Regions from separate parts of the Mus musculus genome. Here all the other regions are reported to be linked to region 1. The links are microRNA targets in miRTarBase. Many come from high-throughput screens and were not tested one by one. Region 1 holds a microRNA gene; each other region holds the end of a gene's coding sequence. Distances are between the middles of the regions.
The links. The annotated mature microRNA mmu-miR-297a-5p reads AUGUAUGUGUGCAUGUGCAUGU and lies in region 1 at 2,988-3,009, opposite strand. An mRNA with a match to its seed (bases 2 to 7 or 8) in the 3' UTR can be bound and repressed. Matches are read on the target gene's strand: a 7mer-m8 pairs with bases 2 to 8, a 7mer-A1 pairs with bases 2 to 7 and ends in A, and an 8mer does both.

Region 1 (4,069 bases):
GAATTCAGAAGTCCCAAAGATCCCATGGTGAAAGCATAAAGTTCATGAATATAGAACAAGTTGAGACCAATTTTTAATGCCCAGACATACTTTGATTGTTGATGTTTTCTATGGCAATATCACTTTTTTTTTTCTTAAAAAATGACTTACTTGTATAAGTGGTTTTGCCTTCATCCGTGTACATCATGTGTGTACCTGGTACCTTCAAGGGCCAGAGAGGGCATTGGATGCCCTGGAATTGAAGCTCTACATGGTTGTGAACTGCCATGTTGCTGGGAATGGAACCCAGGACTTCGGAACAGCATCAAGTGCTCTTAACCACTATGGGTGCATCTTTCCAGCACCCACAATTTACCTTTTCGAAGTCAGATGACTAAGTCAAGGCCAAATGTTGAAAAGACTTTATGACTTGTGACATAGGATCAAAAACAAAATTTGGGTCATACCTTGCCAATAAAACACTAGCTTATAGATTTAAAATTTTTAGTGGCATTATTCATTTGAGTAATTTGAATTTGTGTCTTAAAAGTAAAATAACAACAAAAAAGTATATATGAGGTTTCAAAATATTCCAAATAAAATGGAATATGGAGCTGACATGAATGTTTCTACTACTCTGATGAAACACCATGACCAAAAGCAAATTGGGGAGGAAAGGGTGTATTTGGCTCTCATTTCCATATCCAAGAAGGTCAGGACAGGAACTCAAACAGGGCAGGAACCCGGAGGCAGGCCCTGATGCAGAGGCCATGGAGGGGTGCTGCTTACTGGCTTGCTACTAATTGGCTTGCTCCTCCTGGTTTGCTCAGCCTGCTTTCCTATAGAACCCAAGATCACTAGTCCAGGGATAGGACCACCCACAATGGGCTGGACTTTCTTCATCAAACTCTACTTTTAAAAATGCCTTATAGCCTGGTATTATGTCTTCTGCAGACATTTTTTGAATTGAGATTCACTCCTTTCAGATGACTTTAGCACATGTCAAGTTGACATAAAATAATCCTAGCCTGCACAAATTATTAATCAGGGAGTATTTGTCTCTGGAAATACATGGCCTATAAAAAAAATCTAGTAAAGAGACATGATCCAAATTCTCTACAAGTCAAATTGTAACTTACAAAGAATACATACACAGTATTCTCCTTGAAAATTGGCAAGTGATATTCATGTTAAGTGAAAATAGACACAAAGGTATCAACATATTCTTTTCCTGAGTTTTGTTTTCACAATCTTCTGTTAAATAAAGAAAGTAAGACCTCTCTCTCTCTCTCTTTCTCTCTCTCTCTCTGTGTGTGTGTGTGTGTGTGTGTGTGTGTGTGTGTGTGTGTGTGCGTGTGTGTGTGTGTGTGTTTGTGCATGTATGTGTGCGCATGTGTTTACAGGAGTGGGCTCAACAAATATGTCAAAGTGAATAAAGTTGTTTGCATTAATATGAGCTTGCCATGATTTTACTCTTCAGACCTGAGCATAATAAAGGGACAAGTCCCTGCCATATATCAATCTATGACATCAAAGACAAGTTGGATTCTTTTTTTTTTCCATTTTTTATTAGGTATTTAGCTCATTTACATTTCCAATGCTATACCAAAAGTCCCCCATATCCACCCACCCCCAATCCCCTGCCCACCCACTCCCCCATTTTGGCCCTGGTGTTCCCCTGTACTGGGGCATATAAAGTTTGCAAGTCCAATGGGCCTCTCTTTCCAGTGATGGCCGACTAGGCCATCTTTTGATATATATGCAGCTAGAGTCAAGAGCTCCGGGGTACTGGTTAGTTCATAATGTTGTTCCACCTATAGGGTTGCAGATCCCTTTAGCTCCTTGGCTACTTTCTCTAGCTCCTCCATTGGGAGCCCTATGATCCATCCATTAGCTGACTGTGAGCATCCACTTCTGTGTTTGCTAGGCCCCGGCATAGTCTCACAAGAGACAGCTACATCTGGGTCCTTTCAATAAAATCTTGCTAGTGTATGCAATGGTGTCAGCGTTTGGATGCTGATTATGGGGTGGATCCCTGGATATGGCAGTCTCTACATTGTCCATCCTTTCATCTCAGCTCCAAACTTTGTCTCTGTAACTCCTTCCATGGGTGTTTTGTTCCCAAATCTAAGGAGGGGCATAGTGTCCACACTGGGATTAAAGGAGTATATCAGCACTCCTGTCAAAAATTTTTAATTAAAAATAGATTGGTTGATTGCACATGGGTGTTTTCCTGCATTTTTGTATGTCTGTTCAGCACCTGCATGCCTGGCACATGTAGAGGATAGAAGAGAGCATGTGTCCCCTAAAACTGGAGTCAAAAATAATTGTGAGTTACTTTGAGTGCTGTAAGTTGAACAAAGGTCTTCTAGAAGAGCAGCCAATGCTTTAACTAATGAGTCATCTCTCCTGATCCAGATTTTATTTCATTTTTTATTATGCATATACTGTGGGAGCTTGTGTATGGATCTGTACACACAAATGCAGTGCTCTCATTAGCCAGAAGAGGGCACAAGAAACCCTAGAGCTCCAAGCTTAATGGCAGGATTGTAGAAAATATATAGATTAGTCTAATTTACACAATGAATTCCCATCCAGCCAGAGTTACATGGGTAGACCCTGTCTCAAACAAATAATTATGTATGCTGAACAACCTCCAAATTGACTAGAGTGAATACCTTAAATTGATTCAGTAGCTAAAAGGGTTTGTCAGGTCCATCTCTTTATTCTGCCCCAAAGGAAGAAACATAAGCAGTCCCGTTGACAATTTAGCTGGGCACTGGAGAGATGGATGGCTTTGTGGTTCAGAACATTGGCTGCTCTCTTCGAAGCACCTGGGTTCCATATCCTGTACTGACATCAGGTGGCTAAAACCATCTTTAACTCTACTTCAGAGAAACCAACATCCTCTTGATCATCTTGAAGCACCTGCATGCTGTAGTACACATACAAACACAAGCAAATACATACATGTATGCATAATATATACATGCAATATGCATACATGCACATGCACATGCACACATACATACATACATACATATTCTTTAAATTTAGCTCTAGGGCCTGGCATGGTGGGACATGCTGTTAATGCCACCTCTGTGAGACTGTGGCCAGGCAATTCTACATAGCAAGTTCCAGACTAGTCAGCTTCATAGTGATACCCTTTCTCAAAAACAAATCAATTAGCTTTTGCACATGCATGCACTTGAGAAATTGAAGTAGGAGGGTCAGGAGTTTGGGGTTCATCCAGGCCTACATGAGATCTCCACCAAAAAACAAAATCACTTTAGCCAAAATGATTAAATTGTGAGGTGTGCAACAGTATATATGACACACAAAGATGCATGAGCTTATGTACAGGAAGAGAGCAGAAAGGACACTGAGTGGCCTGCTCTATCATTCTCTGCTTTTTCCCCAGGCAGGATCTCTCACTGTACTTAGAATGGGGCCCCAGTGTTCTTCTGTTTCTGTTCAATAGCACTGGGGATATTGGGCAGCACATACTTTTTCATGTGGGTGTTGGGAAGCTGGACACAAGTCCCTAGCTTGTGCAACAAGTGCTCTTACCCACTGAGCCACCAGGAAATATGTAGTAGATTTTTTTTTAAATTTAATATCAAAGCGAAAAAGTCTGCATGATTAAAACTAAAGCCCTCGTAGCATGGTGGTATATATCTCAGCTGAAGACAGAAGAAAGACTGTAAAACTCGAGGCCAGCATGAGCTATCTAGTAAGTTCTAGACTACCCAGAACTACCTTGTAAAACTACATTGCAAAACACAAAGACAGTGAAATAATCCATTATCAAGTATTGCAGAGAAACCCAGCTTTCCAGCGTGGAAGTGGAAAGAGCCATCTGGGACAAAGTCTGCATAAAAAGACGACTGCACAAAACATGGGGAGCAGATTTTCTAGCTTGCTCTTGCTGCAGGGGGCCTTCCTAGAGGAAACCAATTGTTCCTTCTCCATGGAGAAACTCAGATCCATGAAAGTGGGGCAACGTGACTCTGTAATCTTATATTATCCATATTTCATGATACAGGAAGGACTATGTGCCTCATAGACCTAAATTAACACGAACAAAGAA
Region 2 (4,069 bases), not on the chromosome of region 1:
ATGAAGGCAGTGGGAAGAGCAAGCACTCAAGCCCACACATCAGCAGAGACCACAAGGAGAAGCACAAGGAGCACCCTGCCAACCGCCACCACAGCAGCCACAAGTATTTGCACATGCACAGTGGAGGCAGTAAGCACACAGCGGATGGAATGCCTCCCACGGTGCTCAGGAGTCCTGTGGGCCTGGGCCCTGAAGGCGTCTCCTCCGCCTCCAGTGCAAGGAAGAAGCTGCATAGCAGCGAAGCCTCCCACAACCACCACTCCAAAATGAGCAAAAGTTCCAAAAGTGCAGGTAGTTCATCTAGTTCTTCCTCTGTTAAGCAGTATCTATCCTCTCACAGCTCTGTTTTTAACCATCCCTTACCCCCTCCTCCCCCTGTCACATACCAGGTGGGCTACGGACATCTCAGCACCCTCGTGAAACTGGACAAGAAACCAGTGGAGCCCCACGGTCCTGAGGCCAATCACGAGTACAGTACAAGCAGCCAGCATATGGACTACAAAGACACATTCGACATGCTGGACTCGCTGCTAAGTGCCCAAGGAATGAATATGTAACCTTTGTTTAGGTCAACTTTTCCTTGCCTTTTTAATTTAAAAATGGTTGGAATGGAAAACGCCCTCCTGGTCCGGCGGTGGTGCCACTGCTTCCATATTTGTAAGTGCTGCTTTGTTCTTCATTCTGAAAGAAGAGATGATAGTAAACAAGCCTATCTCCACATACGATAGTGTTACCAGGACTGTAACCGCATGGAAGATGCAGCTGAGAACATTAGGATGAATGGCTGGCTGCTGCTAGGAGCCTAAGCTGCTTCAAGCTTCTCTTATTTATGATTTGAATATTGTAGCTGTTTTTTGTTGTTGCTTGGCTTTGAATGAGTGTCAGTTGTTTTCTTTTGTGTATTTATACTTGTATGTATGGTTTGCATGTCTCAGTGATAAAGGGATAAAACAGTATACTGACAGCTGTTTACAAGAAAGTGGAGAAAAATGTACATACATTTTTGTATGTTTAGATATTACCATAAATACTCAGGATTGGAGCTGCTTGTAAGAATAACAATATACAGAATAACTTTATTTTCTCTCGTCAGAGTCCATCACTAATCTAAAACACAAGTGGCACTTTTTTTATGTTAACCTTAATTAAACTCTAGGCCTTACTGGAAGCCGCTGAGGGGACACTTCACTACTAGACGGGAATGTGGTGCCATGGGTGGTCCTTAACACTGGGAAGCACTCAGTTTGCCTTCAGAGGTCCTGACCAGATTGGCTGCAGAATCAGCCGTTGATTTCTGAAGGCTTGAAGAGGAAAACACAATAAAGTTTACATACTCTTGATGTGAAGTGCATTTAAATGTTTGTTGGCTTGTTGCAGTGCTGTAGAAAGCAGCTAATAATTGGTGTGAGGATGACTGTGACTTTGCTCACAGCAGCTCCCAGTGAAGATGAGTCCATTTCTTCAGGAACGCTGACACTACAGATTCTAAGAGTGAACAGGGGTCACTTTTCCTTTAGCATTGCAGTGACACCATAGTCTTGAATATACTCTTCCCATGGAGAGAGAGAGTGAGTGTGTATGTGAGAGAGAGTGTGAGTGTGTGGGTATGGGTGTGAGGGAGAGATACCATATTTCTTTTTCAGGTAAATGCAGTCTTCCTTATAAAAATGAAATTAAACCTATGCTCTCTTGATTCTTTTATATTCTAACAATAAATAAAAAAGAAAAGATTGCTGACTGTGCATTGTACCTGTATTTATAGCTTATGGTCATTATCAGGAAAATGTAAGGAAAAAGGCCAGCCTCAGGCAAGCCACTGCTGGGGTTTTACATGCTGGGGTTTTACATGCGTTTGCACGTCTTAGTAGGTTCTCATTGAGGTAATGCTTGCACTGTCACCTGACGCCTTGTCAGGGGATAGACTGACTTGTCTAAATTTTGGTATAAGCACCAATAGTATGGCTCTTGTCTCTTGCCTAACCTTGAATTTATTTCTGTGGTAAGTCTTAGCTGTTGAGTCTCTTAAGATGGGTCGGGTTCAACTTGTATTGAATCACAAGTTTTCCTCTGTATATGAAATGTTTTGTTATAAAGCCACTGATCTGTGCACAATTGTAATTTTATTCAAGTATGTTGTGGTTGTAAATATTAGAGTTGAGCCTTGTACTCTACTTTTATTTAGCAGTTATCCCATTTGCCAGTAGCTATTTGTTTTTTAAAGAAAATTGTTGATTATTTTGTCAATGTTATTTGAACCTGGGATGTCAGGAGCTTCTTTGTGGGAACTCAGCCTAGCAGGCTAGTCCTCACTCTGTTCTTGTTTCATTGGTAATCTTTGTTACTATGTGATTTTTGTTGCTGTGGTATACTGTTGTATCATAAACATGATGATTTTGATACAGTTACAGTTTTACCGTGGTACATTTCCAAGAACTAGCATAGGATTTAAACAGAGTACAAGGCGAGGGAGGGAAGGGTTTTGTTCTTGGTGATTTAGATGTGAAACCTCAACAGAGCATCATGTGAATTGACATGAGGTGGTCGTGCTACTGTATCATTGGGAGTGACCCAGGAATTTTAATCAGCCTTTGTAAAGAGTATCCAGAGACGTAGCAAACTTATTTTCAGTATGACATAGAAAACAATGTGAATATTTAAGGTCTGGGACTGTAGTTAAACTTCACTAAGGATTTTCAGAAATGTGTTGTTTTTTGTTTGTTGTTTTGTTTTTTAGATATGGGAATAAAGGTAATTTTGTTGAATCTTCATTGGTGCTAATGATGGACAGTTAAACAGATAGTGTCTACGCTGTGGATAAGTACACTTAGTGCTTCCAGAACTGACTTTGAAATGCTGTGTATTCACTTCTCACTCTGTAAATGTAATTCTTTACAATGACTATTTATTAAAAGGCAGTCAGTGTGATTTTTACAGGATTGTGTGAACTATTCAAACTCTTCAACCTCAGAACAAGATGCTAAAACCACAATGGGGGAAAATTCATGACTCCTTGTTTCCTGTCCACTAAGGAAAACCCTTATAATTCATATCACCATGAATTTGCTTAAATGATCTTGTTTGCATAACATAGTTCATTTGCATGGTCCCATTAGACTCTACCAAAGAAAAAAGACTCAATAAATGGACATTCTATTGTGAGTCTTATAAGTAGCCATAAATAACCAAAATAGTATCAAACTTAGGTGTGAAATTTCACATGTGCATAGTACTGTTAAGGTGATAACATTTTTTGATGAGTTTTTTAATACTTGAAAATGATTAAAAAGCATTCTCTTTACATCATCCTATAAAAGAGTGACTCATTCTTAAGGTGTTTCCCTAGGTTTGCCACCTTGTTGCAAAAGCACATTGTAATCAGAGGCTTCCTGTCTACCTCTCTCAGCTAAGTTTCTAAAATCAGTATGTGCTTCCTAAATCTCTGCCTTAGCTACTAACACAAGCTGTCTTCAGAACCAAAGCAGAGGAGTGTTTGTTTTGTGGGAGCCTTCTGGAGGCCTGCATTACAAACTCAGTGCCAGTGCCCACTGGTAGATAAGGCCCCACATGTCTCCTATGGAGTAGCAGTGAAGGCTATAGTGCCAGTCCTGGGTACGCTTCAGAGCACTAAGTACTCAGCTTTAAAGATGTCTCGTGTGGTACTGGGTGGTTTCGTGAGCGCACACTTTGTGCCAACAGATAGTAATTATACAGAACTCCCAAACATTTGGACCTATCTGTTCCCTATGAAGTAAAAACAGAACAGGTTAGGATTTACTTTAGAGAACCAGTTTGAAATGTCATTAGTCACCAAATACCTTGCCTTAAGATGTTTCAAGAAAGTGTATTTTCTTACGATTTAAATTCTGATTTTATTTGCATTATATAAGCCGCTGCCTATTTAGTGCATGGGTGCAACATGATTTGTTGGTTGGATGACTTAAGGCTCCTGCATTATGGAGATGGCTTATTTTGATAACTTCTCAGAAAAAGTCTCTGGTTTGGAATCTTTGAGATGAGACATGGTCTTCCTCTATAACAAGGAAAAGGGCTGACTGTAATTAATTCTCCT
Region 3 (4,069 bases), not on the chromosome of region 1:
ACATTGCACATAGGATTACGAAGTGTTCAGTAAGACAGTGAAATCTGTGGCAGGCAGAGTTTGTACCATAAAAAGACCCCATACATCACACCAGTAAAATAGGACATTCAGAGTGCTCACATTCTTTCCTTTCTCATATGTGTGATAGGTAGACTCTTAGTGTTAAGAATTTTTATTTCACGATTTACTCATTTATAACTTAATAGAAGTCTTGGATTAAATATACAACTTGTACTGTTTGATATATTGTTTTAATTTGGAAAGGATAATTTGAAGTTAACTGAAATGATGGAAGTGGAATTTATACTCTGCATTTTAAAAAAAGTCTTGTTATTAATAAGTATGATTAAACTTTGTTTTTAAAAATGTGTTTTGTTTTTCTGTAATTCTTTATGTGAACCATAAGAGTATTTATTACACACTTTATATTAGACCTCTTTCCTACACGTGTAAGTGCCCTGTTGAAGTCTCTGGCCAGATGTCTGAGACAGTGACAGGCGTAGCACAGTTACAGGAAGGAACAGTCCGTCCCTGCCCTAGTGTGCTGCTGTGTGCCTGCTGGGCCTTCCTACCAGGCATTATGTTAGGAAGGATTTGTATGAATGTACACGTGTGCATGTATGAAGAATACCAGCATATCGTTTATTTCCCACCTATTTTGAAGTCTTAGGGTAGTTAATAGGAGATTGGGCGGGTCTTTCATTTTATTTAATTTTAATTTTATATTATTGTGCGGGTAGATACTCGGACACATGCACAATAGCTGAGGTAGAGAAAATTGGGGTAGCAGGGCAAGTGTGTCATCATGTATACATGAAGATCAGAGACTATTTCGTGGAGTAGGTTGTCTCTAAAAACAACAACAACAACAACAACAACAAAAAAACCCTCATATAATTGAGTGTAAAAACAGCCCTATAAAGAAAAAAGTCTTTAAAGAGCTGTGGGCTAGCATACAGGGACTATGGGTTGTAATGAACTAGCAGTTTGGGTCAGTTTCTTTATCTGTCCTGACCTGAGTTCCTTGTTATGCAAGTAGTGGCTTTGCCACTTAGGTTCCTTGAAGCAGTGCTGTTGCTGTGTGCTTGAATGATATTTGGCAGTCTATGATGTTTCTATCAGTTCCTGAAGTAGGAATCCAGGCCCAGAGTTTGTAGTTTGTATTTGTCTTGCTTGAGACCAGTATGACTAGTTTTTTGCCATGGAGTTTTGAAGAGGAAATTAGTAAATGAAGCTTTTCTTCATAAGGGTAAAACTGAAATGCATTACTCAGTTTACCTTGGTAGATATGTCCAAATTGGCTGCTTCCACAGCTAACTAGTGTTGCCCATGTTTGGTTTAAATTTGCAGCTGCTTTCAAGAGGGTTTGAGAACCTTCAACTTTAGTGTGCAGTTTTCCAAAATCCACTGAAAGGAAAGGAGTTTGCAAAACATTTTTTAGTTTTCTTGTAAGTGCAGTCCAAGCTGGCCACAAACTTAAAACCCATCCCCCCAGTTTCTCAAGTGCTATGATTACAGGTGTGTGCCAGCACGCAAAGCTTGCAGCACAAATCTCGGTCTTTTTTTCTTTTTTGTTGGGATGGTGGTGGTTGAGAGAGTGTCTAACATATCTGAACTCTGGATCCTGTGCATTCTGTTTCCTCAGAGACGGGAGTTCCTTGTTTCAGCCTGTTTTTAGTCACTGTGACTTCTCTTAAGCATTCAGTGTAGTATAGCTTTCAGTATAATTTATTTAGGGGATTATTGTTTATTTCATGGTGACATTTTATTTGTATTTTATAATGAAAGACCCAAAAGATGTATTATGAGATTGCAGATGCCTTTATTACTCTAAGCAAATAAATTGATTTTTATTTAGACAGCACTCCACTCATTTATACGTACAGTAGTTCAGTGGATTACATTTACAGTGAATAGATGGAAAGTTAGCTCATCTCTATCATTATTCAGATATTCACGGGTGAAACTCCCAAGTTGCCTGCTGGAGGCTAGCTAGGTAGTCACAATCATATTTCTTGGTATCTTTCACTGATAGTTTAAGATTTAGAACTTAACCATGTGGTACATATCCGAAAATGATTTTAAGTTCGTATATTTCTTGTGTAAATCTTAAAGTGATGGAGAACTTGCTAACTAGATGAAGTAGAATGTTGCCCATCTATAGTTAGACAAATAAGAGTTAGAAAATGACCCCACCTTTACAGAAAACAAAACAACAACAAAAACCCCTTGTGTCTTATCCGTATTTACAGATAGCCACACAGTATATATAGTTTTACAGTTTTTCTCAAGTGGGATACAGTGAGGGGAATTAGCCCGTAGAGGCAGAGCTAAGTGTATCTCAGATTCTGAGTGCAAAGCTAGGCCCCTTTATTCCATGCAAAGAGCTTTCATGCATATGGTGTAGGGTGTGATACAATTCGAACCAGGAGCTTCTTGAATATTTTGCTTTTTCTTTGGGCAAGTTAAGTCATCTAGCATGTGCCGAGGAATGAGAAAAAAAATGTTTTTTTGTCTTTTTCTTAACATCGCCTATGATTTGTTTTCATGTTAATAACTTCAGAAAATTCCAAGCATTATATGATAATGTCCCAATGGTAAATTGAACACTTGCCTTTCTGGGTATTTATAGGTTTAATTACAAAACTGAACATGTATGTATTTTTAAAGTCAAATATTTAGCCTCAACAGAAGTTGTGCCTACAAGCAATTGAAAGTAAATGTAGGCTTTAATAGAAAGTAAAAAATGAACACTTAACATTTTATTTAAAGCTGTTTCCATAACATTGTGACCTTTTTATAAATCAGCATTATGTATCTATTATGTATCTTGGGATAGTCATGCCTTTATAACTATGCAAATGGATATGTTAGAACCCTGAGAGACACCCCAGTTAAATTGTACAGGGCCAGGCAACAATATAACTTTAGAGATAGTGAAAGCAAATATCTAGAAATTTTATTTGAATATCAGGTGACATAAAACTTGCTAGTGTGAATATGAAATATGGGGGGAAAAATCTAGTTCAGTTTGTTCTCCCGAGCAAGACTAAAGAGTGAGGATATCCTGTTTCCTATGCAGGTCATATACTGTATCTTGTGAAATTTGTTCTTTTGAAAAAAATATATATGTACAGCCTTCTTCTGAAGATAATAGATTCCCCTACCCCAGCATTCTTTCCATTGCAAAAACATGAGGTACACAGACCAGTGCCAGGGTAGGGGACCAGTCCAAGATAAGAAAATAGAATGGATTTTCTGGCTTGTGAATTTTCAGATGTGTTCAGAATTCAGGGTGCACAGTGGTAGCAACAGCAGAAACCTCAGAGAATCCTGGGACACTAGAGGTTGAGCAGCAAACTGCTAAGTGATTGAAAAGAGTGGCTGGTAAGGCCGTTCTGCACTGCCTACCCATCATGACTTTACCCATGCAGCTTAAGTGGCTCATGCATTGCCTTATGATCTATAGTCCTTTTTGCTGTAGGGCTTGTTGCGCAGTATGTTATCAATCTCGTTCACCACGTGAGATGTCATCTTAGGGAGGACCTGAGGGTAGGGGAGAAGCACAGAGGGTTAGGGTTGCGCATTTGTCTTGTGGAGTCCACATTAAGCAGTCATTTATACTTGCGATATGTTTGCAAGCCATAGCTGAAATGAAGATCCACTACCCCATGCCCCACAATGGATAAGCTTCAAGTCAGGGATTGTGTTTGTTGACTAAAGAAATGAAGACATGGGGCTGGAGAGATGGCTCAGCGGTTAAGAGCACTGACTGTTCTTCCAAAGGTCTTGAGTTCAATTCCCAGCAACCGTGTGGTGGCTCACAACCATCTGTAATGGGATCTGATGACCTCTTCTGGTGTGTCTGAAGACAGCTATGATGTACTCATATAAATGAAATAAATCCTTTATAAAAACATATGTATTTAAAAAAAAAGGACTAAAGTCTCATGAATACAGAGTAGCTTAATCTGGTAGAATTTCAGTGTAAGCAATTTATGTTTTAATTTTTCTAGCAGGTAATAATGCTGTCTTTAAAATAATAGAATTAGTACATTTTATTACATTG
Region 4 (4,069 bases), not on the chromosome of region 1:
TCTTTTGTGTATGACAGGGGGGCTGGCCTGTGACTTTTGGAAAGATTCTCCTGTCTCTCCATCTTGCCCCAAGAGCATTGGTGTTACAGATGGAGTCCATCCAGCTCACAGGGATTCTAGGGACTTAAACTCAAGTCTTTCCACTTGCATGGAGATCTCTATCCACTGTCTCCCCAGTCTGACAAGGTCTCTATGCAGTCCTGGTGGTTGTCCTTGAACTTGCTATGTACAAAAGGCTGGCCTCAAACTCAGGGATTTGCTAGCCTTTGCTTCCCAAGTGCTGGGATTAAAGATCACAAGGACTGGCTCCTCTCCACCTTTTGTGAGATAGGATCTCATGTTGCCTAGGCTGACCTGGGACTTGCTACGTAGCCAAGACTCTGAACTTGAGTCTCCTGTCTCCACAGTTGTGAATGCTCCCCATTCGCTCCCCATTTCTCCAAGCTACTCATCTACACAGAGACTCTTCACCGGCCCACTTTGGTTCTGTGCCAGGTCCTTGTCCACACACTCAAAGCTCTACTGCATTTAACATCACCGTTCCTTGAACATGCGGCATTTTTGCATTTCAACTATAGCATCACCCGTCAGCCCATCCCTGCATATCAAGTTCCTTTTCTTCTACCAAGGATGTCTACAGCTGTCTATATGTAAGTTTCTCTTTCCCCAAAGCATATCCAAGATACCGTTTGTTCTCTCTATACATATTACGTGTGCTGTGCATATATATGTGTATGTATATATATATATATATATATATATATACATACACACATGTATGTTTATGTTCTTTTATATATGTGTGTATATATCTATATGGAAAAGGGAGACAGAAAAAACAAGAGAACACTTCGTTCTACAGTTCCAATCTGGCTTTGAACTCATGACCCTCCACGTCAGCTGGGATTAGAGCCGCGCTTGACCGCACTGCTTACCTTCATCTTCCCTCTGATCTGCAAAAGTCCCTCAATAGATCACCAACAAATGTTAGAAAACCTTTCAGGGTTTTTAGGCTACCTTTTTCCACCCGTACTTTCCCTTCTGTGTTGGTAATGATGAGGATGACTAAAACCTTTATTTTTGTGGTCTCTACTAAAACACAACTCACACATCCACCAAAACCGCCTGTAATAAACTGCCGCTTTCAAAACCAGTAAGGACACAGTTAACAAGAAAGCAGACAGAATAAGATCGTTCCCACCACTTATGTGAGCGGATCCCTTTGTGGAACCTAGGACTTTGTACTTGAAACTGCCATGTAAGTTGTTCTTCAAAGCCAGTGGTCTGTCGACGTCAATGCAATCTTATGCCAGTGGCTCTTATTCTGTGGGGCCTATCAGAATAATTCATACTCCATAGAGACAAAAACTAGTGGGCCTTACTCTCTAAAGAGTCCAAAGATATCTTGTAAGACGTATGGTTACTAAGCAATGAATTATGTACCTTTTTCAGGGAGGGGCAGTATTTCTAAGTGCGTGGCAGTCCACTGTGACCATTTCTGAGATGTAATGTACTGGAGTGGAATGAACATCAGCTGAGGTTTAAGAGCACCAACTGCCCTGCAGTGCTAAGAATAGAATCTGGTTTTTAAAAAACTTCCCCCCAAATTTGTTTTTTCAGCTAGTGATGTCATTCTCATGTAAGTGGATTTTTTAAAAAAAGTGTCATTAGTAATTAATGTTGATTGATTATTCATATTAGAGAAAGTGCCATCCAAAATTGCTTTGATTCTTAGGCAACCAATGGTTCTGGACTAAATGACCCAAGGTCACCCTAAGAGACAGTGTGTTTTGGTTACTCAGTCAGTTCTTCCCACGTCTCCTCCTGCCCCTGCCCTCAGAACGGCGTCCCCAACGCTCCTTGGCTGTGCTCTCCCAGGCTGTCACAGCCTACTTTCTGTAAAGGGCCTGAGAGCTCACGTGTCTGCTCTCAGGCCGGTGTTCCTCTGAAACCACTCAGGTGTGACACAGAAGTACAGGCACAGCCTTAGGTGACAGGTCACATAGGTGGTGCTGTGTTCTCACACAACTTTATTAATAAAAAGAGGAGGTGGGCTATACCTGGCTAAGATATAAACTGCCTACTCCAGCTTCAACCAAAACACTATGAGTGTTTGTTTTTCCTGATAAGAATTCAAGATCCTACAAAAGATGCCCTCTTTCTCAAATGTGGGAATTATTATATTTAAAATGTAGATCAAACAATGATGATCATGGGAGAACTGGATGCTTACGATCTGACTGCACACGAAGCATTTCCCTCTAATGCTACTAAGCCGACTGACCAGCAACTACGCAACAGCATGTTAAAAAACATGTTTATTTTACAGTATGTACAATCAGGAACGTATTTAAAACCATTATCAGTTAAAATAAATGAAGCATAAATCACAATTTAGCTTGTTCTTAGTGTATATATACTCACATCAAAATATAAAGAACATATGAACATATACCAAAGAGAGTCAGAGGTGTGCACTTTGCTACAACTTGGTATCTATCTTGATAAGACAGATACACTCCATTGGAAAAAACCAATCAACAATGATTTTAACCAAACTAACTTCTTGTGATCTGTAGTAACCATTATAATGTTTGTATGAGGTAGTAACTAAATTATTTTGGCCATGTATTAATACTCAAAATCTAAAGAAATATGGAAGTGATAAACTAATGCCAACAGAAGTAAAAGCCCACGAGAAACCTGATCAGCTCACTCTGGAATGTGACAGCTCTTCAGTGTGACTGTGAAATGTCTAGTGCGGACTCCTCAGCAATGCGAGTTGCTCTTATGCGCACTGTAACCCTGGCGACAGCTGCAGTGTTCTACCGTGGTACCGCCATTCCATGATTTAAGTTTTTGCGAAGGTGTATCCTAAGCACAGACAAGCTTATCTTACACAATTCTCCTTAAATATAAAAAGATCAGTTACTACAACAGGTGGTTAACTGGTTTGTTTCACATAGAAAACAATCCAAATACATGTAAAAAAGATGTTGTATTCACGGTGGGTGTCACAGGCTCTCTGTGACAACACATCACATGTCAATACTCTGTGCAGGAGAAACACCAGTGCACGTGCATTAAAATTAAAAACAAGATTATAAAATGATTACAGCTCGTTACCATTTTAAAAGTTACAGGATTTATGTCCATATTACTAAATTATATATAATAAAAATACAATAGTGTTAATGTCTTGGTTCATTGCCAGCATCCCATTTTGTAATATGACCACACCCAAGAATATACTAAAGAATTCTTAAAATATTAACCCCAGTTGCATTTTCATCAACATTTACATCTGTACAGATAAGACACTTTTACATCTCATAAAAGTACATTATCTACATAAATTCTTAGTGTATGCCTTCAGCAATATGAAGTTTCACAGAAAAATACTGCTTATATGTACAAAGATTACATAACAATGAATTAAGCACTTGTGTGGTTCAATATGCTAAATATATCCATACCACTTAAAACAAAATGTTCTCCCATCTGTCTCATGCCACAATAAATTATAAGAAACAGAATCTAGGTTCCTGCAGGGTCTGCATAGCTTCACTCCTCCACTAACGTTGCAGCAGCTGTGGTCACTGTCTCCACAGGTCACTGTCAAGAACACCGTGTCTCAGTAGCTGTTTTCGTGACCCGCCAAGATGTATAAATTGCTATTTGCTGTTGGGTTATCAGTTGGCCGACTTTCCAAAACCACAACCCTAAAGGTAATAAGAAACACATAACAGAACAAAGTTATTTATTTATGAAAACTAACATCAGCAAAAAAACCCCAAACAAACCAAGCAGCCAACCATGGCTTCTTTTAGACACTACTCTAAGCACTGCTCTTATGGGCAGAATCTACCCCCAGTCACTCTGACTCCAGCCCTGGGAGGTGCCCACTGCCTACCTCTACATCAGTATTCTTCTAGGACTTGAGGGTGTGAAGGGCAAGGGCTAAGGAGAAACCAATTCTACAGGAGTAATGTGGGGAGGGGGTGGGCTTGGTCCTATTAATCCTAAAACAGTCTGTTTACCAACATAAAGGTAATTCAGAATAAAATAA
Region 5 (4,069 bases), not on the chromosome of region 1:
TGGCTGATCTTTGAATCAAATTACTTGACAGTGTCTCTCATTTTAAAAAACATCAATATTTCAATGCATTTCAAGTTTTCTTTTTTACTTAGGCATATAACATAGTTTAACCAAGCTCTTGGACCTTAATTGTAAGACAAAGCAGATCAATAAAAATAAGGCATACTTGTCATGAATTAAGTTCTGTTTGCTTGTTTTTGGCACATTTGATCATACTGTTGTCAATGAGTAACACATATGGTCAAATATACCCCCCCCTTTTTTTCAGCACAAACTGGGGCTACCCACTAGTAAAATAAAAACAAGAAGAGACTCTTAACATAATACACTGAAATATAGAACCTTGGTAAAGTACCGAGCACCTGGGAGGGGAAATGTAGGGGGAAGGATGAAACAGGAGAAGGGCAAGGGGAGGTTAGGAGGTCAATGGGAGAGAAAAGTGAGATGCTTTAAACAAAAAGAGCATCTTTACAGTCACTCAGTCTTCTCTATGACCACTTTTTAAGTCTTAAAAGATCTGCATGTGGATTTCTTTTTAAACCCACTGACCATAAATCAGACAATGGATTCAAAGTCCTAGTAAGATTGTGTTAACTGTTAATAGTGTAAAGACAACTGCACAATACATGTGCTTCTTGATCCGGTAGGATTCCAAGCAGAATCTGAAGTCTACAGGTAAGAAAGGTTTTACTTTAGGTAACTGACCCTAAAGAAAACCTTACGAAAGAACTTGCATCTCAAAGAAAGGACACTTTGCCTAAGTTTGCTGTGTTTTTGTTGACTTGCACTACTGACTGCTGGCTACTACAAAACACTGATCTAGGAGTACTCCAACAACTCGTAGCACAAGGCTTAACTTTAAGAAGCTATAGTAAACAAGAGACAAAATCAAAGCAATTCTCTTTCCTAATTAGAAACAGCACAGAGAATGCAATCTTTTCCATATCACAGTTAAAGTACAGTGAACAAAACAGCTCAACAAACCTTAAGACAAAAAGTGCAGGTTATTAATGTTTACATGCAGTTGATAAGCATTCCAAATGTCACATTATGCACTGTAAAAGCTCAACTTTACTATATGAAAATAATAAAAAATGCACCTTGGGGGGAGGGGAAAGCAATTTAATAATTTCCAGTGATTTTGTAAGTAAAGAAACTCCTAACTATTTTACGGTCACCTCATATTTAACATTGTATGAATATGAAAAGCAAACAATGGGAAAATGCACAGTACAATGAAAATAGCTTGCTATTCAACACATACAGTAGATCTCAAAAACAAAGACAACACACTCAACCAGAAAGCTTAAAACTATCAAATCAAAACCTAAAGAGCCAGCAGGAAAAAAAAAAAATCCTTCAAAAAAGATAACTGTTCTGCCTTCCTAGGCCGATACTGTCCAATGGGAGAGGTGCTGACACCTTCCCAGTCCTACAGGTGGTTTCTTCTACATACAGCAGGTAGAGCTAGATGGCTGGCTTTGCCAAGAAACAATTGCATGTCCAGAACTCTCTCTGTCAGACAAGATACAAGATCCTCTTTTTTTCTTTTTTCTTTTTTTACCAAAATACTTTCTACAGAATTCCAAACCAAAATGTACTGTATTTAAGGCATCTTTTTTATAACATTTTCTCTTCACTCAAAGATGATAGTCATGCAGCAGTTTAATGATAAAAAATATATTAATATTTTACTATACAGCAGCAAGAAGTTAGTTGTCAATTAAAAGCACATAAACATCTTTAAATGAAAACCTGTAAAAGACTATCGTTACAAACAATTTCAGTGGAGGACACCAGCTTGGTAAAGTGCTCTCCTAAGCTTGCGTTTTCATACCCTACACTTTGAATATGAGTGATAATAGAACATACTTTTGACAGAAGGCGTGTACACTTGGGAACACAAATACACTTAGCATATAATGTAGCCAGTAATAACTAGCACCACAGCTACATGGAAATCCTTTACATACACCAACTTGGCTTTCACTTTTGAAATGAAACTCAGAATCCATGGCTCAGTAGGATAACTATAATGGTGTTGCTTTGCTTTTAAACAGGTCTACATAAGTTAATAGCACTGGCAAAAATCAAAGGATAGCTTCAGACCTCTCACAAGTTTAGGAGACAGTGCTAGTGACCACAAATAGACTCACTACCTGATATCCAAATACAGGTTCACTGGAAATTGCTGCACGTTAGTTAGGTTTTTAAAATCTTTCTACACATAATAAAAAATATATATTATGAACAATACAAGTACATCTCATATACACAATAATAACAAAACATCTACTCAGTCAAAGCAAACAGATGCAGAAAAATATTATGGGAAATTTCCTTTTTCTTTCTCTTTTTTTCTTTTACTATTTGAATAACTTTGGTTCCAACCATAAAAATCACAACTTAGCAAATTTCATTTAAATGCCTTTTTTAATAATTTCTTCATGTTCACAGAAGTTTCACTGACCATTTTATATGTTTAAGGTCCAGATGCAATGCATATTGTATAAAAGAGAGCACTTATTGTTTACCTTGCATGAATTAAACCTACGTACCTTGAACTCTACAAACTTCTGCATAACATTTAGACAAAGCTCAGACACACAGCATGCCTAGCCCTCATATATATACACATCTCTAATCACAGGTATATAGGATGTCAAATATACTATAATAACCTCCATGTAAGGTTTGAAATTTGGTAACAAAATGAGAAAAACTAAAAATATTATTTTACGTGTTCTAAAATATCTCTTTTTTTTGTGCTAAAGTCAAATGTTAGCTCAACATGAAAAGGACTTTTTATATAATTCAGCAATATTATAATCTTGACCATTTTGCAAACACTTTTAATAATAATAGCTTAAACGTGTACAAAAGTTCTTGGTTAATTAGGGAAATAAACACTCAGTTCTTTATATTTTTTAATCAAGTAGGAAACACAGTTCATATAATGTTATTACTTTTTGTATATTTTTTTGTTTTTTGTTTTAGCAGCTGCTTACTGTTTTATATGGTGGATAAAGTGGACAACATCCAGCGATGGGTGGCAAGTCAAGAAGAGAAACTGTCAGTTGGTGGAGGTTCTGTGGGTGGTGCTCCCTTGGAGTTTTTTTTTTTTTTTTAACTTTTTATTTTCTCTCTTTACAGTATATTTTCTCTGTGTGTGGCTGTGTGTGTGTGTGTGTACACGTATGTGTATGCGTGTGTGTGTGTGTGTGTGTGTTTCATTCAGTTTGATCAATCTTCTTCCCCTTCTTCCTCGCCCTGCAGTAGCAGGGTGGCAGCGGTGGTCTCCTCTTGCTGCTGCTGTTGCTGCTGGTGGAGCTGCTCACAAGCGGCCCGCTTCTCCCTCTGTTTCTCTTGAATCTTCTTCATCTCCTCGGAGTACTTGCAGAAGGTGTGTCCGAACTTGGCCCACACCTTGTAGGGCACGGTGATGGAGTTGCGGTAGGTGGGCTTCACCTCACTCACTCGCATAAACACGCCGTACTTGTTGGAACCCACATCGAAGAAGAAGCGCTTGTTGTCCACAGTCAAGGAGGTGCCCTCGGGCAGCTCGGCCGGCTCCTCCTCCACTCCATAGTCGTCGATGAGCTTGGCCAGAGCGTCACGGAACTCGATGAGACCCTGTGCGGGCAGCGCAATGGTCTGGCCCTGCGTGGAGCCCAGGCCGGGCCCCCGGTTGACTGTCTGGCGGATGCGCAGGAAGCGGCCGCGCTGGTTCTCCTTGAGATCCATGTAGTACTTGCGGTTTTCGCGCACCAGGAACTCGCTCTTGAGCGCCCGGCGTGGCTCGTCCTGTGCCTGGGCCAGGTCGGGTGGCTGGCTGGGGCCCAGCTGCGCGTAGTGCTCGATGAAGTCGCCCAGGTAGTCGCGGAACTCCACGGCCACAGACATGGAGAGGGTGAGGCGGCTCTTGTTGCCGCCAGCGCCCACCTCTGCGATCTTCAGGAAACGGCCCTTAGCGTTCTGCTTCACGTCCAGGTAGAAACGCTTGTTCTGGATGTCCACCCGCTTGGAGGCCAGCTCCTGCGTCTCGTGCTGCAGCCCCCCCGGGGCCCCG
Region 6 (4,069 bases), not on the chromosome of region 1:
ATGCTGGGCAGTGATTGCTGAAAGACCTTTTTTTAAAAAAAAAAAAAAAAAGGGGGGGGGGGCTGGTGAGATGGCTCAGCGGTTAAGAGCGCCAACTGCTCTTCCAAAGGTCCTGAGTTCAAGTCCCAGCAACCACATGGTGGCTCACAACCATCCGTATGAGATCTGATGCCCTCTTCTGGAGTGTCTGAAGACAGCTACAGTGTAATTACATATAATAAATAAATAAATATTTTTAAAAAATGTGTATGGGTACTTTGTTTGCAAGTATGTCTGTACCGTGTGTATACCTAGTGCCCTCAGAAACCAGAAATGGGTGCCAGGTCCCCTAAGACTGGAGTCAGAGACAGTTGTATGCTGGAAATCAAACTCAAGTCCTTTGGAAAAGCAACCAGTGCTCTAAAATGCTGAGCCATCTCTCCTGCCCTGACATCGTCTTTCCTATAAAAAAAAAGACTCTCAGGCTAGAGGGACCACTCAGTGGTTAATAGCACTGGCTACTCTTCGAGAGGAACCAGGTTCAATTCTCAGAACCCACATGGTAGCTAACAACTATCTGTAACTTCAGTTCCAGGAAATCCTCTGGCCTCTGAAGGTACTAGACATGTATGACCATGTACACACGAGCAGTAAATGGTCATACATGCAGTCAAAGCACCCAAAGTCATAAAACTTAAACAAGAAAAAGCTCTCAAAAACCACAGTATGGATGCCCACATCCATGAATGTACTAATCACTACTTAGAAGCCTCTCTCATAGCCTATCACCGGGGCTTCCACGTACTGCATGACAATGTCTACCTGATGCCTGCCAAGGAACCTAGGTCACTTTAGTCACATGAGAAACCTACTTTAAAATGGACCACATACTCTTCCTGTCCTAACACTGTGGAAATAGTCTCAATCACTGAGGCATGGTGTTTAACACGTCAATTATAAGCTCTGCACTATACTGGTAACTCTCAGGCCCAGCCATGCTTAGCATCCCATACTCTTGACATTCACAAAGGCCCGTGCCCCTGAGAAGCCTTGAGAGCATTTCTAGGACAGGGGAGTGAGGATCTGCTAGTATGTGGCAGAGCTCTGTGTTCTCTGTCCTAGCCTGAGCTCTTCCCTTCTGAATGGGAAACCACAGCCCTTTCATGCCTGGTGTCACATTGTAGTAGCAACCTTTCCCTTCCTACTGTGGTAAAGTCCATGGTCACCTGCATGTGACACAGCCTTGGTGCTTCTAGATCATTCAGTAGTCCCCCAGCCCCTATCCAGAGACAGAGCAGGTGAGTGCTTCCCAGATTGTGTGGGAAAGAAGAGGGGACAGGTGCCAAGGGACCCTGGGCTTCTTTTGGTGCTGATACAAATCATCTAAAATTGGTAGAGGCATACTCTGAATATGGCGACTCACTGAACTGTACAATAAGAATAAAAAACTAAAGGAAGCAGGTTGAGCCCCCACAGTCTGCTTTTTTCATGAGTATCTGGGCCAGTCTTGCCGCACAGAGCACACTTATAAAGACCAGAGCTCTAGGCAGCACCAGGGGAAAGGCAAGGCTAAAGCAACTCTCTGATGCTATTAGCGATGCTGGGCAGTGGGGGACATTAGTGCTGCTGTCCTTGGTTAGACACCATGACATCTGGGGGAAGAGCAGAGCAAGACACTCGAAGGCATAGAGCATTTACTTCTCACCTCTGAGGTCAGTGTTGGCCTCTCATGCTGACAGGCTCTGACACACCAAGGCTAACGGTGAGTGGCTGGAGAGCAGGGCAAGCTAGACTTGAAAATGGCTTCCCAGGACCAGGGCTCTGTTCGGAATCCTAGTGAAGTACCCTGACTTGCACTTTACTGACATCTCAGTTCTAAAGCCACTTGAGATGTCGTGTGAGGTGCCAGGAAGGAGGCGGTCAGGGGTCTGAGGGTGGGGCACTTCCTGGTGTGTCCTGGGTACACATCCTGAGGTTTTAGAAGAAAGTCAGAAATAAGGGGAAAGAGACTTGAGCCAGCTCAGACATCCAGGAGAACATGACCATGTCTACTTCCCAGTAAGTTCTTTATTGTCTAACCAATCACCACATGTTTACCGCAGCCCAGCACCAGGCCAGGCACACTAAGCATAATTACAAAGGGCAAGAGCTCCCAGCCAATGGGAGGTGTACAATTTCAACATTTCTCAGGAATTCATCTGTGATTAAAAATCACATCTGGACTTAGTCACCAGTATTGCAATGAACATTCTTTAAGATACTTTTTAAAGAAAAACATTACAGCCCACATTTACAATGGCATGGAATTTTTTCCTAGTATAACTTTGTTACCAATGAACAAGATTTATTTGAAGTTCAGCTTGTGTTCCCCCTCCTGTAGCAGCAGGGATCAATTTTTTTCTGAAAGGAGTTTTAAAACGTTAAGCAGTAAAAGGGCTTAGGTACAAATGTGGCCCAGAGCTGTGTGGCCAGAGGGCTTAGGGCTGAAGCCAGCTCCTCTCTGGGCCTTCCTATCACTACATCTGCAAGACAACACAGCACACACTTCCAAGCCACTCTTCAGATGCCGCTGCCATTGAGGAGGGAGCCTATGCCTCGAGAGCAGTCTAAGTGAAAGATGCTTCTCGGAGCACAGTTTAGCACCATCTCAGGGAGTATCGGGGCCACTGGGAACATCATCTCCTACATTAACCTCCCGACTTTCTCACAAACTCTCAGAACTCACGGTGCGCAGTTCTGGAAACAGATACTAACCAAATGCCTACAGTAGACTGGGACAACGGGACACAGTGACAACTCCACCCAGGACAACTGTCTGCTTCATGTGAACAACACTCAGCACAGAGCAGAGAAGTGGGAGCAGCAGCCTCAAGGGCCTGAGCCATGACGCCAGAACACAAGAGCTACCTCCCTTCACTTCCTCCAGCCAACCTTCACTCCACCGTGGACCATGAGGCTTAAGGGAAGAGTCCTGCCTCCTGCTGGGCCAGCAGCCCACAGAGTTTCCATTTGGCACGTTTGGAGCAGGCTGGAAACTTCTCTAGTGTTACAGTCTTGATACTCTAATGAAAAAGGTCACTGATTCCTTGGGCTAAAACCACCTAAATGAGTCAGTCTGAGCTAACAGAACTTTGGGGAAGTAGTCCCTCTGAACTTCCTCACACCCGTGGTAATAATGCATCTTTTCTTCTCGGGAGCTTTAAAGCACTACAAGTGAGCTGCTAGCTTTGGCACAATGGAAAGAATGACAGATCCTTCCTTTCCTTTTATAAAAGGACACTGACGTCCAACAGAATTCTGGGTGTATGGAGAGGCCAGACCCAGGTTGGCAACAACAGGACCTGTCTGGCTCCTGCTTTCTTCTTTTCCAGGCTAGAGATTCTCTGGCTATCACACCCAGGGAGGCCTCAGCAAAAATGACCATCAAAGCTAGTGAAATGGAAGGTAGCATTCAAAATGTAACACTGGTTTTCTTAAAATGGAATACTGGTTTTCGTATAGCGTGTATAAGGCACGGTGTGAGAAAGCTGCCCCCACTCCAGCCACACAGCCCCCTGGGCTCCTCACACGCTCACATGCACACGGGAAAGGCCAGCTGGCTTTGCCACAATGCATGGGGAATGGGTTGCTTCTGATCACTTCTGGTTTTTGAGCTGGTTGGAGAGCCAGTCCAGGCCTTCGTAAAGCCCATCTCCACTGGTCGCACAGGTAGCCTGAATGTACCAGTTTCTCTGGCGAAGGGAGTGTAAGCCAAGCTTGTCTGTGATCTCTGCTGCATTCATAGCATTAGGAAGATCCTTAAAGAAAACAAGCAAACAGTTTACCAACCTGTAGTCATGCAATGCAACAGGATCCTCCTCTAAAACATACCCCGGCCCTATTTCAGTGGCTCAGACCCAAAACCTTAGCTTTTTCTTTCTCAGACCACACAGCAGGAAATCCCAACAGTCCTACCATCAGAATTTACTCAGAATCTGACCACCTCTCACCATTCTCTCTGCCACCACACCCTAATCTGACCCCACCACAGTTCACTTGGATAATGGACATAACCTCCTCACTGGTCACCCTGATTCCGTGCTTGCCCCTA
Region 7 (4,069 bases), 9.0 Mb from region 1:
TCTGTCGCAGTGGGCAGGATCATAGGCTATGCCTAGAGATACTAGTATGACTGTAATGCAATGAAAAAGGAGGGATATCTGAGGTGAGGGGTAAAATGCCTCAGGCTATCTGGGCTGCAGATGACAAGTCCCTTAGACCAGAGTGCACACTTAATAGCTAGAACTCACTTTCTCCCTTTGTTTAACAGAAACTGCTGAATTCAAACCATAGTCTTTACTGCAAGATCACCCCATCAGCCTGACGCATGCCAAGCTTCTTTTCCCAGTTAGACATGCCATCCTGGGCCACATACTCTGTGACCTTGATACCTGCACTTTAGAATCCAGCCATTCCTTGCCACCACTGCGGACTTCATGATGACCTAGCTGGATCAGACTCTGGACAAACAGGTTCCACCAAATCTTAGCTTCTGGCTCACGCTTCATTTATAGCAACAGAGCTATAAATAGCTGGATTTTGGGGAGATGGCTCAGTCATTAAGATCACTTGCAGCTCTTCCAAATACCACAGGTTCAGTTCCCAGAACCCTTGTATGGAGACTTACCTATTCTAACTCCAGCTTCTAGGGATCCAATACCCTCCTCTGGCCTCTGCAGAGACATGAAGACATACAGATTAAAAAAAAAAAAAGCAAATCTCACTCTCTTTTCTCTTCTCTTCTCTTCTCTTCTCTTCTCTTCTCTTCTCTTCTCTTCTCTTCTCTTCTCTTCTCTTCTTTTCTTTTCTTTCAGACAATGTTTCACTATGCAGCCCTAGCTGGCCTGGAACTTGCTATGTACATCAGGATGGCCCTGAACTCATAGAGATCCCACTGCCTTTGCTGGGGTTAAAGGCATATGCCATCATACCCAGCTCAGTGTGATGAGAAGCTCAGTGGTTAAGTGCTTTGCCTGACAGGCATTGAATCTGGGTCCAGTCCCTAGTAGCACACATACAAAATGCAACAAAGGGTCTGGAGAGGTTTCTAGTGCTTAAGATGCACATGTCTCTTCAAGAGGACCCAAGGTCATCTCCCAGGGCTTAGGTCAGTGCCTCACAACTTCCTGTTAGCTCCAGCTCCTGAGCCTCATGTGCTTATGTGCACACACATAATAAATAGTGCCTGGGTACACATAAAAAATCTTCCTTTTTTAAAAAAAGCAATGGCAGGCTGCATAGTGGAAAGATGGCTCAGCAGTTAAGAGCTCTGGCTGTTCTTCCGGAGGACCTAAGTTCAATTCCCAGCACCCACATGGAAACTTACAACTATCTGTAACTCCAGCTCCAGTGGCACCCCTCACACCAGCATACAGGCATATAAAAATAAAGATAAACTATTTAAAAGAAAACAATAGTGTGTCTTAATTAGATTTCTATTGCTGTAATAAAATGTGGCCTCTCCCAGCCTGAAGCAGACTGATACAAACCTTGTACCACTGAGGTGGGATCACCTGTAGTGGAGCTTTCCAACTTGGCTGGCTTCTTTTGAAGTGAAAACTGCCCTGCTCTTCTGCTACCTGCCGAGAGGCTGAACCTGTCTTCCTGAGACATTCCTGAATAGCAACCAGCCTGGCGAATGGCTCCAGGCACCAAGAGTGGACTGGCGGGGAGGGGGGGGGGTAGGGGGAGGAGGAAGATGGGCCTTCGCCCTTATAAGCACGGTCTCTTAGTAAACTCGTGGGCCTTGAACAGAAAACGTGTCTTGGTCTCCATTAATTTCTCTCACAGTCTAAGTCTCTTTCAGCCCCAGCCTGCCTCCCAGGTGTACCTGGTTCATGTAGGCCTCGGGCTGGCATACAACAGATTGGTGTCCGAACCAGGGACATTGGGAACGGCGGAAAAACCCTGAGGGAATTGCTATCTTGTGTGGAGCTCCATGAGAAGGAAAGAATCAGAGGATTGTATCGGGCACAGTGAGCAACAGGTATTTATGCTAGTGCTGGCTTTAAACTTCATTTTTAAAAGTGTTACTGGAGGTGCAATAGGATACGGGCTAACTTTGGAACAGTGCTGACCCAGCGCTGGGTCCACTTAGGTTTGACAGCGAAATATGTGTGGGGCTAGAAACTTTGAGTCAGGCGGTTGCCCGCAGCTTTCAAAAGCTGTTTCAGGTGAGAGGAATAGGGTTTAAAATAATGAAACAGGTGGTTGTCCGCAGTCGAGAACTACATTAGGCTAGAGGAATAGGGTTTAAAATAATACAATACAATACAATACAATACAATACAATACAACACAATACAATACAATAAAATAAAATAGAGGAAATGGATTTTGAAATTCTCCCAGAGACAGAGAGAAATCGAGGGACGCCTTGCTTTATTCTCTCTGGCCCCATGCAGCAGAAGTTCTCTGCCCTCTTTGTGTTGTCTAATGTCTGGTGCACCAAATCCGTTTACGTGTCAATCCATGTGTGTTTTGTCCCGTTGTCTGAACAACTGAATGTTCTGTGTTTCATGTTGGAAAATAAAAATGGCTGAGACTTTAGCTGCTGGTTCAGCAAAGCCAGAGAGTGGCCACACTTTAGCCAGGGATCAGGCACAGCAGGGGAGCCACTACTGGGAAAAGCTGCTTTCAAAGAAAGGGAGTCTGCAGCTTCTTAGTTTTGGGGCAAAAAAGCTGATAGTTGTTTTTTTCCTGGAGGGTTCTCTGCAATCGTGATTATTGTGTTTAGGAAATGACAAAGTGCTTTTTTATCTTATAATTATAGCTATAAAAAGTAAAATTCTTTGATTGGTCTAAATTTACAAGACTCATGTAGCCACTGCATTTGGTTTTTTACTGGTCTTAAAGGTGTAACATTGGTAGCAAGACAGCTTTAAATTGGCGACTTAGGTTTGGAGTCTTTCCAACACGTGGCATAAAGCAGGCCAAAAAGCTAGGCCTCTAAGGACACTTCTAGTTGAGATAATATTTAATGTGATTCTTATCCTGATAGGTAGACTTAAAGATAAGATTTAAAACAAACAATGTCTCTTTAATGAAGCATTAAAATTTGCACTGTCATGCATTCATAGGTATAAATTGGCAGCCAAACTTCATAATATGATAGTAATGCTTCTAATATTGATTTTAAAGATGATAAATTGTTTTAAAATTGGGTTTTGTAGGGCCCCCAATGGAGGCTCTAGAGAAAGTACCCAAGGAGCTAACGGGATCTGCAACCCTATAGGTGGAACAACAATATGAACTAACCAGTACCCCGGAGCTCGTGACTCTAGCTGCATATGTATCAGAAGATGGCCTAGTAGGCCATCACTGGAAAGAGAGGCCCATTGGTCTTGCAAACTTTATATGCCTCAGTACAGGGGAACGCCAGGACCAAGAAGTGGGAGTGGGTGGGTAGGGGAGTGTGTGTGTGTGTGTGTGTGGGAGGGTATGGGGAACTTTCGGGATAGCATTTGAAATTTGAAATGTATATAAAGAAAATATCTAATAAAAAATAATAAAAAAATTGGGTTTTGTTTTCCCAAGGTTGTAGATATTATCCTAACGTTGCAAAAGAAACTTAAAAATTATGGTTAAAAATGCCAGTGTTTCATTGACTGCAGCTTGCAGTTTGATTACAAATTTAAGATTTTCTACTCACCCATATATTGTTAATTAAGATAATTACAAGAGTAATCATCTTATGAGAGCACTAATACAGCTCTCTGTGGCCATACAGCCATACAAAACTCAGAGCAGCCTCAGTGAGGCTTGTGTGACTTTCTTTTGTTTTGCAAACCATGCCCAAGGAAGTTCTTGAAACTTGCCTCTCCTTGCCTCCAGGGGAATTTTCTTTTAGCTAAAAGAACACTGTTGCAGATCTATCCAGATGTTGTTCCAAGTAAAGTTTAAATTCAAAATTTATAAAAGGTCAATCAGACTGTAGAACTTATAAAGGCATTACAATCTGGCTTGCCTATTTCATGTAAAGTCATTATAGATTTAAAAGTTTATTTTTTTCCTTTGCATTCTGATAATTGTAAAGTGTTTGCTTCTAGTGAACTGGTAATCACTGGAAAATTTTGCCTCTAGGTATGGCTAATATAGCTTTACATTATGTAAGAAAAATTTTTATTGTCTCTGTTTCTATACAAGAAGCTA

Region 2: miRTarBase lists Ccnt2 as a target of mmu-miR-297a-5p. Seed matches in the 3' UTR shown: 7mer-m8 at 994-1,000.
Region 3: miRTarBase lists Kcnab1 as a target of mmu-miR-297a-5p. Seed matches in the 3' UTR shown: 7mer-m8 at 2,654-2,660.
Region 4: miRTarBase lists Map4k3 as a target of mmu-miR-297a-5p. Seed matches in the 3' UTR shown: 7mer-A1 at 2,595-2,601.
Region 5: the mRNA of Pura is a reported target of mmu-miR-297a-5p. Seed matches in the 3' UTR shown: 7mer-A1 at 1,192-1,198.
Region 6: miRTarBase lists Arf2 as a target of mmu-miR-297a-5p. The part of its 3' UTR that is shown has no 7-base or 8-base seed match.
Region 7: miRTarBase lists Ceacam20 as a target of mmu-miR-297a-5p. Seed matches in the 3' UTR shown: 7mer-m8 at 608-614 and 8mer at 931-938.

What each region holds. Positions count from the first base shown.
Region 1 is chr7:10,955,490-10,959,558 of GRCm38, forward strand. Mir297-1 (microRNA 297-1) reads right to left here and starts at 3,023; the gene lies at 2,948-3,023.
Region 2 is chr1:127,803,003-127,807,071 of GRCm38, forward strand. Ccnt2 (cyclin T2) reads left to right here. Exons shown (of 9, transcript NM_028399.1): 9 at 1-1,835. The coding sequence ends at 557. Among named protein-coding and RNA genes, the nearest start is that of Ccnt2, 31 kb to the left of the region's middle.
Region 3 is chr3:65,375,956-65,380,024 of GRCm38, reverse strand. It overlaps Kcnab1 (potassium voltage-gated channel, shaker-related subfamily, beta member 1), which reads right to left. Exons shown (of 14, transcript NM_010597.5): 14 at 1,800-3,546. The coding sequence ends at 3,457. Ssr3 (signal sequence receptor, gamma) reads left to right here. Exons shown (of 5, transcript NM_026155.3): 5 at 1-368. Among named protein-coding and RNA genes, the nearest start is that of Ssr3, 15 kb to the left of the region's middle.
Region 4 is chr17:80,578,214-80,582,282 of GRCm38, forward strand. Map4k3 (mitogen-activated protein kinase kinase kinase kinase 3) reads right to left here. Exons shown (of 34, transcript NM_001290345.1): 34 at 2,300-3,722. The coding sequence ends at 3,635. Among named protein-coding and RNA genes, the nearest start is that of Cdkl4, 2.8 kb to the left of the region's middle.
Region 5 is chr18:36,287,302-36,291,370 of GRCm38, reverse strand. It overlaps Pura (purine rich element binding protein A), which reads right to left. Exons shown (of 2, transcript NM_008989.4): 2 at 1-4,069. The coding sequence ends at 3,244. Among named protein-coding and RNA genes, the nearest start is that of Pura, 8.2 kb to the right of the region's middle.
Region 6 is chr11:103,983,295-103,987,363 of GRCm38, reverse strand. Arf2 (ADP-ribosylation factor 2) reads right to left here. Exons shown (of 5, transcript NM_001304574.1): 5 at 2,014-3,776. The coding sequence ends at 3,615. Among named protein-coding and RNA genes, the nearest start is that of Arf2, 19 kb to the right of the region's middle.
Region 7 is chr7:19,989,785-19,993,853 of GRCm38, forward strand. It overlaps Ceacam20 (carcinoembryonic antigen-related cell adhesion molecule 20), which reads left to right. Exons shown (of 12, transcript NM_027839.2): 12 at 189-1,329. The coding sequence ends at 242. It also overlaps a transcript of Nlrp9b not described here. Among named protein-coding and RNA genes, the nearest start is that of Nlrp9b, 16 kb to the right of the region's middle.